Coturnix japonica: one gene and its partner. The protein of the gene in region 2 purifies or fractionates together with the protein of the main gene of each other region. This does not show direct contact. Links are inferred from orthologs where the notes say so. Each region holds a gene or a part of one and is shown on either strand. Other genes may lie near its edges.

What was found.
Region 1: the proteins of NEK1 (region 2) and CFAP410 purify together in Homo sapiens (affinity purification with mass spectrometry; 3 studies listed by BioGRID and IntAct, with this or other methods). This does not show direct contact. The link is inferred for Coturnix japonica from reciprocal best matches to the Homo sapiens genes NEK1 and CFAP410.

What each region holds. Positions count from the first base shown.
Region 1 is NC_029524.1:3,309,448-3,313,311, forward strand, and holds the end of CFAP410 (cilia- and flagella-associated protein 410), read right to left. Parts: intron 3,563-3,864; coding exon 3,391-3,562; intron 2,818-3,390; coding exon 2,724-2,817; intron 1,901-2,723; coding exon 1,840-1,900; intron 1,664-1,839; coding exon 1,506-1,663; 3' UTR 634-1,505; downstream 1-633. UniProt on the Homo sapiens protein: Plays a role in cilia formation and/or maintenance. Plays a role in the regulation of cell morphology and cytoskeletal organization. Involved in DNA damage repair.
Region 2 is NC_029519.1:22,223,870-22,227,684, forward strand, and holds part of NEK1 (serine/threonine-protein kinase Nek1), read left to right. Parts: intron 1-42; coding exon 43-97; intron 98-1,249; coding exon 1,250-1,450; intron 1,451-3,815. UniProt on the Homo sapiens protein: Phosphorylates serines and threonines, but also appears to possess tyrosine kinase activity. Involved in DNA damage checkpoint control and for proper DNA damage repair.

The DNA of each region.
Region 1 (3,864 bases), on a different chromosome or scaffold from region 2:
GGGTAAGTCTCTGGGGCTTTGGCTGTCAGGGCAAGACTAGTATATAATAAATCACACTGACCAGTTCAGTGCAGCTGGGCTTAACACAGCAGGCAAGAACTAGGTCATCTGAAGAGTTAAAGGCATCAGCAATCCTCACCAGAGGGACACGCTGTGTCCCCTCATCCCAAAGCCACATAGATGTGCTTGTGTGCACGGGGCTAACATCCCCAAGGAGCATCCTATCAGCACAACCCAGTGCAGGGGCCTGGGTGCCTGTGCAGACACAGGGAGCAGAGCCACAACCACCCCAGGCCCTGCAAAGAACCGCACCAAAGGCCACGTCCCCCATCCTGCAGGCTTTGCATCTCTGCACCAAGCCTTGCTCACAGTCCCTTTGCTCCCTGCTGCAGAGCTGCCCCAGCAGCAAAGTGCCTTTGGAAAGCAGGGAGGTGCAGCAGTTGTGGTTATGAGCAGCACTGCAGTCAGATGAAGCATTTCACGGTCAGTGAAGCGGGATGGAGCAGGGGCCAACAGCTGCCCTGCGGCTTCAGAGGGCTCACAATGGGAGCCGTGACCCAGATGTAACACAGCAATGCCCAGAGTCAGTTGTTCTCACCATGGTTGCCGAGCCCCAGGCACAACTCGCAGGTCCTAGAGGGAAAACGGCTTTTATTTGCTATGTCACAATGTTTCAAGTGGTATTTAACAGCTTTGTAAAACCCTTCTGAACGCAGCTTCTTCACTTAAGCACCACCCTTGATACCTGTGCATTCCGACAGCAATGCTTGGCTCGTTTTCTCCCAAAACACACAGGAGCATTTTGCTCTAAGGTTCATTTTCCCTTGGGCTGCTCAAATGCCTGCGAGGGCAAGCAGGGGCGAAACTACAGCAGAGCATTCAGGATGTGCTGCTTCACCCAGGCTGCACCAAGGTCTTCCATGGGCCACCTGACCATGGAATCAGATGCTGCTTGTACTAACAAGGCCGAAAGAAATCAAGAGTTTTAAGATAAAGAAAGAATTTGACATTGACCTTCACCATCTGCACCAGAGAGTTGTTGAAAACCCTTCAGGCAGCGTCTTCCCAAGATTCAAACAAACCTTTGTGGGAGAAGCTGCCTTCAGAGCCTGTTCTATGACAACTGGCCAAGTGCTCGGCCAACAGGGAGCAGTGGTACTTCTGGCTGCTGTCAGGCTTTCCAGCCCCTTCATTTGTACAGCACAGCAGCACCTCTGCCCACAGCCCTATTAGCTTTTTCTTGTTGATCATGCCATGGCTCCCATCGAATGACCCCAGTGATGCAACATGCACACATTAACAGAGCCTGCCAGGCCAGCAGGAAAGCTCCTGAGAGGCAGATCCTGCCAGCGTGATGCACACAGCCAGGGGCAATGTCAGGAGAGGTAAAGGGGCAGTTGCTCTCAGCCAGCATCACCTCATCCACAGGGGAAGTGCAGCGGGACGTGCTGAGCCAGGCATGTATGGGCAGAGTGGTGCTGCTGGGCTGGGGCAAGCTCCCTGGCTCACGGAGTGCTCCAGGATACAGCACGCACCCTCACTCCTCTTGCAGCTCTCTCTTCCGAAAGGCCTGCAGCCTCCTCCCCACTGTCTGCTGGACAATCTCCAGACCTTCCGCGTCCAGCTCCTTCGTGAGAAGCAGGATGGCGTTCAGCACATTGTTCTGCCAGGATGAGACAGACACTGCTTTAAACAAACACGTTAACATCAGCCCAGAGAAGGGGGGCACTCGGTTTTCGAGTTGCTGCTCCTTCTAGGGACTTCATCACCTGCACCTACAAGGACAAACCGACCCCCCTGAGGCCCTGAGGGGCAGAGGCTGCCTTGGAGGAGACTCACTGGAATGCAGGACAAACTCGTCCACCCAGTCCTGCATAGACTGCCCGCACACCTCTGGCTCCTGTAGGGAAAAGGGCGCTCAACTGAACAGCTGTCCTTTCTCCAGTGTGACCACATGAAGGGTGAGAAAGGACCTGCCCCCACTCTGATCTGAGCAATGGTAAGACAATAGCAAAAACAGGAGCTGGATAGAACCTTTGGAAGTCCCCAGGCCAGCCTTCCAGCAAAGCAGGACTGCTGCCAACACCAGAACTCGGCTCTGTCAAACCCTGTCGTGAAAAACTCCAGAGGGAGATTCCACAACCTCTCCAGGCACCTTGTAGGGGAAATCTTTCTTCCTAATGTCCAACTTAAAGCTCCACAGCTGCAGTCTGTGCCCACATCCCCTTCATTTTCATTTGGCAGAAAGAAGAAAGAAAAACAGGGAAAAAAGGCAGGACCTGCAGTAGTACTCTTGGAGCTATAAAGGAAGCCTACAATACATGGAATGAACGTGGACATGAAGGCAACAAGCATCAGAATGAGGCAGAACACGGTCTAGATCCTCACTATGGCCTCCCTATGCCAATTGCAGCGATGGCACCGAGCCCAGAATACAGCAGCTCCCAGCTGCACAGCCAAGATCCATGAGGTTCATCTGGGGTTACACCACCGAGGGGGCTGAAGATGCACCTATGCACTCGATTCAGCATCCTCCCGCTCACCAGCTGCATTTCAGCTGCTGCCCACCTCCTAGCACTGCCTTAGTGCAGGGACACACGTGCCCGTGGGCAGACAGATGGAGAGCACAAACCTCATCAGGCTTTCTTTGCGTGCGGAGGAAAATAAAGACACAGCACGGCATTGCAAAGATGAAAAGCAATTTGGACTTGAAAGATACTCACTCTTGTCTTTTGGCTACAGTCCACCTCTTGAGATGAGAAGGAGGAAAATTTATCCCTAGGAACAGGCTTCATACCAAGCTGCTCTCGGATTTTGCTGAAGAAAGGGAAGAAGAGCAAATGTTACAATAAGCAGAAGGCAAAACCTTACTCGGCCAGGCCAAACTTCTGCAGTCACTGGCAGTCACCCAACAAGTCTCTAGCCAAGGGATTCAAAGCACATCTCACACACCTCGGCTGCCTACAGAACACAGCAGCCTGAGCAAAACCATAGTAAGAGCCTCACAGCTACAGGATGTAATCAGGCAAGGCAATAAGAGGAGGCTGCTCTCAGCCATGGGACTGGGAACCAACTGCATCACACCACACTCCAGCATGTGCACGGTGCTGATGAGCACCAAAGCATGCTGCAGGGGAGCTAAGGAGGTGAGCTCACCCACCTCTGTCTGCACATGCAGCTGATAGCAAGCACCCCTCCGTGGAAGGGCCTGTTTGGCAGATAGAGAACCAGACCCGTGAGTACTGTTGACCCAGCACTGCTCCATCACACTAACTGGAACAACAGGAATCTGCACCCACTGCAGGGCTTGCCCATAGAAGATGGGGGGCTTGGCTGGCAGGGTCCTATTATGTTACCCACAGGTCCAGCCCAAGAGCCCTAATATCTCACTTGGTCTCCTCCAAACCGAAGCTCAGCATCTCGCTCTCAGTCTCCACTGTGGATTCGGCAGCACTGGACTCTGTGGATGCAGAGCAGCCATTCTCCATACTCCTCCTGGCTGGTGGGGCCGTGATTTCCTCCCCATCAACCAGGGCCTGGGACAGCTCTTCCTCTGTCACGGCTGTGAAAGCAAAAACAACAGCCTGGAGCCATTTGCTTGCAATGAGCTCCAGCAGCCCAGAAAGACATTGCCTGTGATCAGGAATGTGCTGCTGCTGCAGAGCTACACCCGGAGAATTTCACCCAACAATCCTGCTTTGTAGAGGCCTTTTGCTTTCATTCTCCCCCACGAGAGAACAGTGGCTGTCACCAAGCTCTTAAAAGGAGAAAGATACCAGGCAGGGATGCAAAGATGCTCTGCAAGGCTCCAAAAGCCACCAAATTACTGCTAGCAGGTAGAAAAGCTCTTTCTATAACCGCAGA
Region 2 (3,815 bases):
TAAACCCACAACAAACTCTAAGTTGTGTTGTTCTTGTTTTAGTGATATCTGGGCCCTTGGCTGTGTTCTCTATGAGATGTGCACGCTTAAACATGCAGTGAGTAGAAACTTGTTGCTTCTTTGAAAGAATTCCTACTGCTCTGCAGATGTATTTCTGTTGATTCAGGGCTTTCATAGTGACTATTTAAAATTACCTTCAGCATTTTAATTTTCTTTTCCAATACTGACAAACATTTACTATGTTTTGATTCATGCCAATCTTTATTGGTTTGGTTTTTTTGCTTTCAGTGAGGTTGAGTTAGCTGAAAAGTTGCTGGGTGTGTTAACAAACTGTGCTTTTCTTTCTGAAGGCTTGACGTTTTCATTGTAACTGAGAAGGCCTAAATTTAGGCTGCCAGCTTTTGTGTAGGTGGATTTGTACGTTTCTGTTTGGAACACTCTTAGTTTTTAGGAAAAAAAACTGGCGTGATGGAGTTGTGTTTTGTTTTTTAATATGATTCTTTATCACTTTTCAGTTGGGACAGGAAGAATAAAAACATTTTTGTCAATTTGCTTTATTTAAGAAATAACTATTTTTTCTAAAATAAATAAGATTATAACATATCAATTTGAGGGGGGAAAAAAAGCTTAGGGCATAAAGATGAAAGCTATCGCAATTTCTTATTACATAGTCCTTTCAGAGAGAACAGTGTTAACAAAGTTGGTTCTCTGAGGGTTGATAGCAATTTGTTTTCTGTAAGCTGTGTGATACATGCTGTTTTCTTTTAACTGCTCAAAGGAATTGAAGTGGTGTCTTCTGCCTCCTGAGCTCAAGCTAGTCTAAACATTCCTTTGGATTTCACACTGAGTGACTGTGAATGCTTTACATTCTTTCATTTGAAATGTGCTGCTCTGAAAAGAGCAGAAAGTGGAAAGTATTCAGGAGATCAGATAAGATCAAGCAGATATTGTTATATAATTATAATTAACTGCATATCACTATTCATCTAGATCTGAGGGAAATAAATATTTGCTTGCAAAATATATATAAATATGGTATGAAGTAACTGTAGTGTAGTATGTTTATAAACTATTGATGAAAACTGCTGATGACCTTGGAAATTGATTTTGTTATGCCCAGGCACAAGAAAGTGTGAGCTTTTTTTGTGTTTGACCATGTTCTCTTTTATTTCCCCTCACCTTTTATTCAGCTTTACGTGTAGGCAAGCAGTAATGTGTAGTAACTGTCTGGTTTTCTTACATGATACAGTTTGAAGCTGGTAACATGAAGAACTTGGTACTGAAGATTATCTCTGGATCCTTTCCTCCTATTTCTATGCATTATTCCTGTGACCTACGTAATCTGCTGTTACAGTTATTTAAAAGGAATCCTAGGGATAGACCATCAGTAAACTCCATATTGGAGAAAAACTTCATAGCCAAACGGGTTGAAAAATTTCTCACGCCACAGGTATGGGGCTGGTTTTAATTTCATTTGGTTAAAAGGTCTTAGGACTGTTTTTTATTCCAGTGTCAATATACAGTATGAGAAAGTGGACTAATGGTATTTCCTAAAGCTTTTGTGCAAACCTTTTCGTTTGAGAGAAGAGAGTTGTTACTATAAACTACAAAAAATAAAAACAAATACAATCTCAACTTACTGAAGTATTTGGTAGTTTCACAAACAAATTTAAATTGACCTTATCTTAAAGAGTATTATTTTGTATGTCTTTGTATACAGGGAGGAATTTTGAGTCAGATGTTCATTTGCTTACATATATAGTTCTTTCATGAAGTGGTGTTGTCTTCAGCATCAAATCTTTATTGTGATTGCTTCAATCCATTTGTTGATGCAATTTGGAATTGCCTGCAAGCTTGTTTTGTGAAATATTGCTAAGTAAATGTGATGTTTGAATTTCTTGCATACATAACATTGAAGAAATTATTCAATATTCTGTTTAGGATCTATTGATATAATTTGACAACTATTCAACCTATTTTAATGTAAATTTAATCAAAAGAGATCAAGAATAATGAGCACTGATGTATGAGGTAAGTAAATACAGGATGAGAAAGGACATGGAGAGAATTAATGCAAAAGAAGACCTCATTAAATATAAAGAATTCTGATGGACTCAAATTCTAACATAAAGAAATTTTGGGGGAAGGCCATATATAATTGGAATTTCTTTCGTATGGAAAATAGGCTTTCAACTAATGGTATTTAACACTAAAGTTCCAGCAAAAGACCAGATTCAGAAATCTTCATAGCAGACTTGTAAAAATAGTAGAAAATCTGTCTTTTAAAAAACTGAAGGCTTGATCAGATTTTACGTCTAGCAGCTAGAATGAAACTTCTGTTTGTGATGATTCAGACATGGTATAGCTGGTAATAGACTGCTACCTGATGTCAGTATTTTCTTGGACTAAGTACAAATATTTGCACACAATTCTGTAAACTGATTCACTGACATATTCAAATTAAAAATCTTAAAAGACAGAGAAGGAAATGACCAGGAAACATCTCTTATTGAATGTGTTGGTAACTGGTGCATACGTGTACTGTTGTCTTCTGCTATCCCTGGTCTGAGCTAAAGAGATCCTCATTGGTTCTGTCATCTGCAAAACATGACAGCTGTTGCTGAAATGCTGCTCTTAACTGCTTGAAAATCAGTCTCCCATGTTTATATAAATTCTTAATAAATTTTCACGGTCACAAGTCTGCTATGTGTGACAGAACAGGTACACCATCATAGACAGCTTTTGGTATTGTTTATTCTAAACCTTCCTCCTTGACCTTGGTTGTATTCTATGCTTTTTATATTGGGATTATCATTTCTGCCCTTTTGTATTTCTTTGCAAAATCCCATGTAGAGTTCTAGACATCTGTTACGCTGCATGACATCTTTTTACAGGCTGAAGAACTAACTTACTTATTCTTTGTACTGAAGATTTTGTATGCTGTTAATTCTTACTGCTCTTCTTAGAAACTTTTCCATCTCTACATTATTTTTGGTTCAGGGATTTGGAACTACAAGTGTTCAAGATGAGGTGTGAGGATAATATATTAATGTTTATTATCTTCTGCTAACTTGATGTGTGTGACTAAACCCCATGTATGTTATTCCTAGATAGCCTATGTATATGTGTATCTCATATAATCTTCCCATCTCAGAAAGCACAGAAAAGCTAAAATATGAAGAAATCTCTAAAGGACTGTGCTTTGACACAGTCTATCTGAGAGACTGAAATGAGATGTGAGAACTATACAGTAGTTTAGAGCAGACTGTTCATAAAACACATGGTGAAGAACACTTAAACTTTATTCTAGTTTCTTAGTTAAGTCATAGTTCAGGTAACGTGCAACCTGAAAACCAGACTAAGTAGTTAATTAAAATAATTTTATTAATGTTTTTATTTTGAATTAATGATTCATTTTGCTTGGAGAAGAGTAGGCTCTGGAGAGACCTGATAGCAGCCTTTTGATATTTAAGAGGACACTATAAGAAGGAAGAGGACAGACTCTTTATCGGGATATGTTGGGATAAATCAAGGGTAAACGTTGTTAAACTAAAAGAGGGGAGATTTAGACTGGATACAAGGAAGAGATTTTTTTACAACACAAGTGGTGAGGCACTGGCACAGGTTGCCCAGAGCGGTGGTAGAAGCCCCATCCCTGGAGACCTTCAAGGTCAGGCTGGAGCAGATTCTGAGCACCTGATGTAGCTGTAGGTATCCCTGTTTATTGCAGGGAGGATTGGACCAGGTGGTGTTTAAGGGTCTCTTCCATCTCAAATGATTCAATTAAACTGTCAGAAGTGTTTGAAAGCAATGAA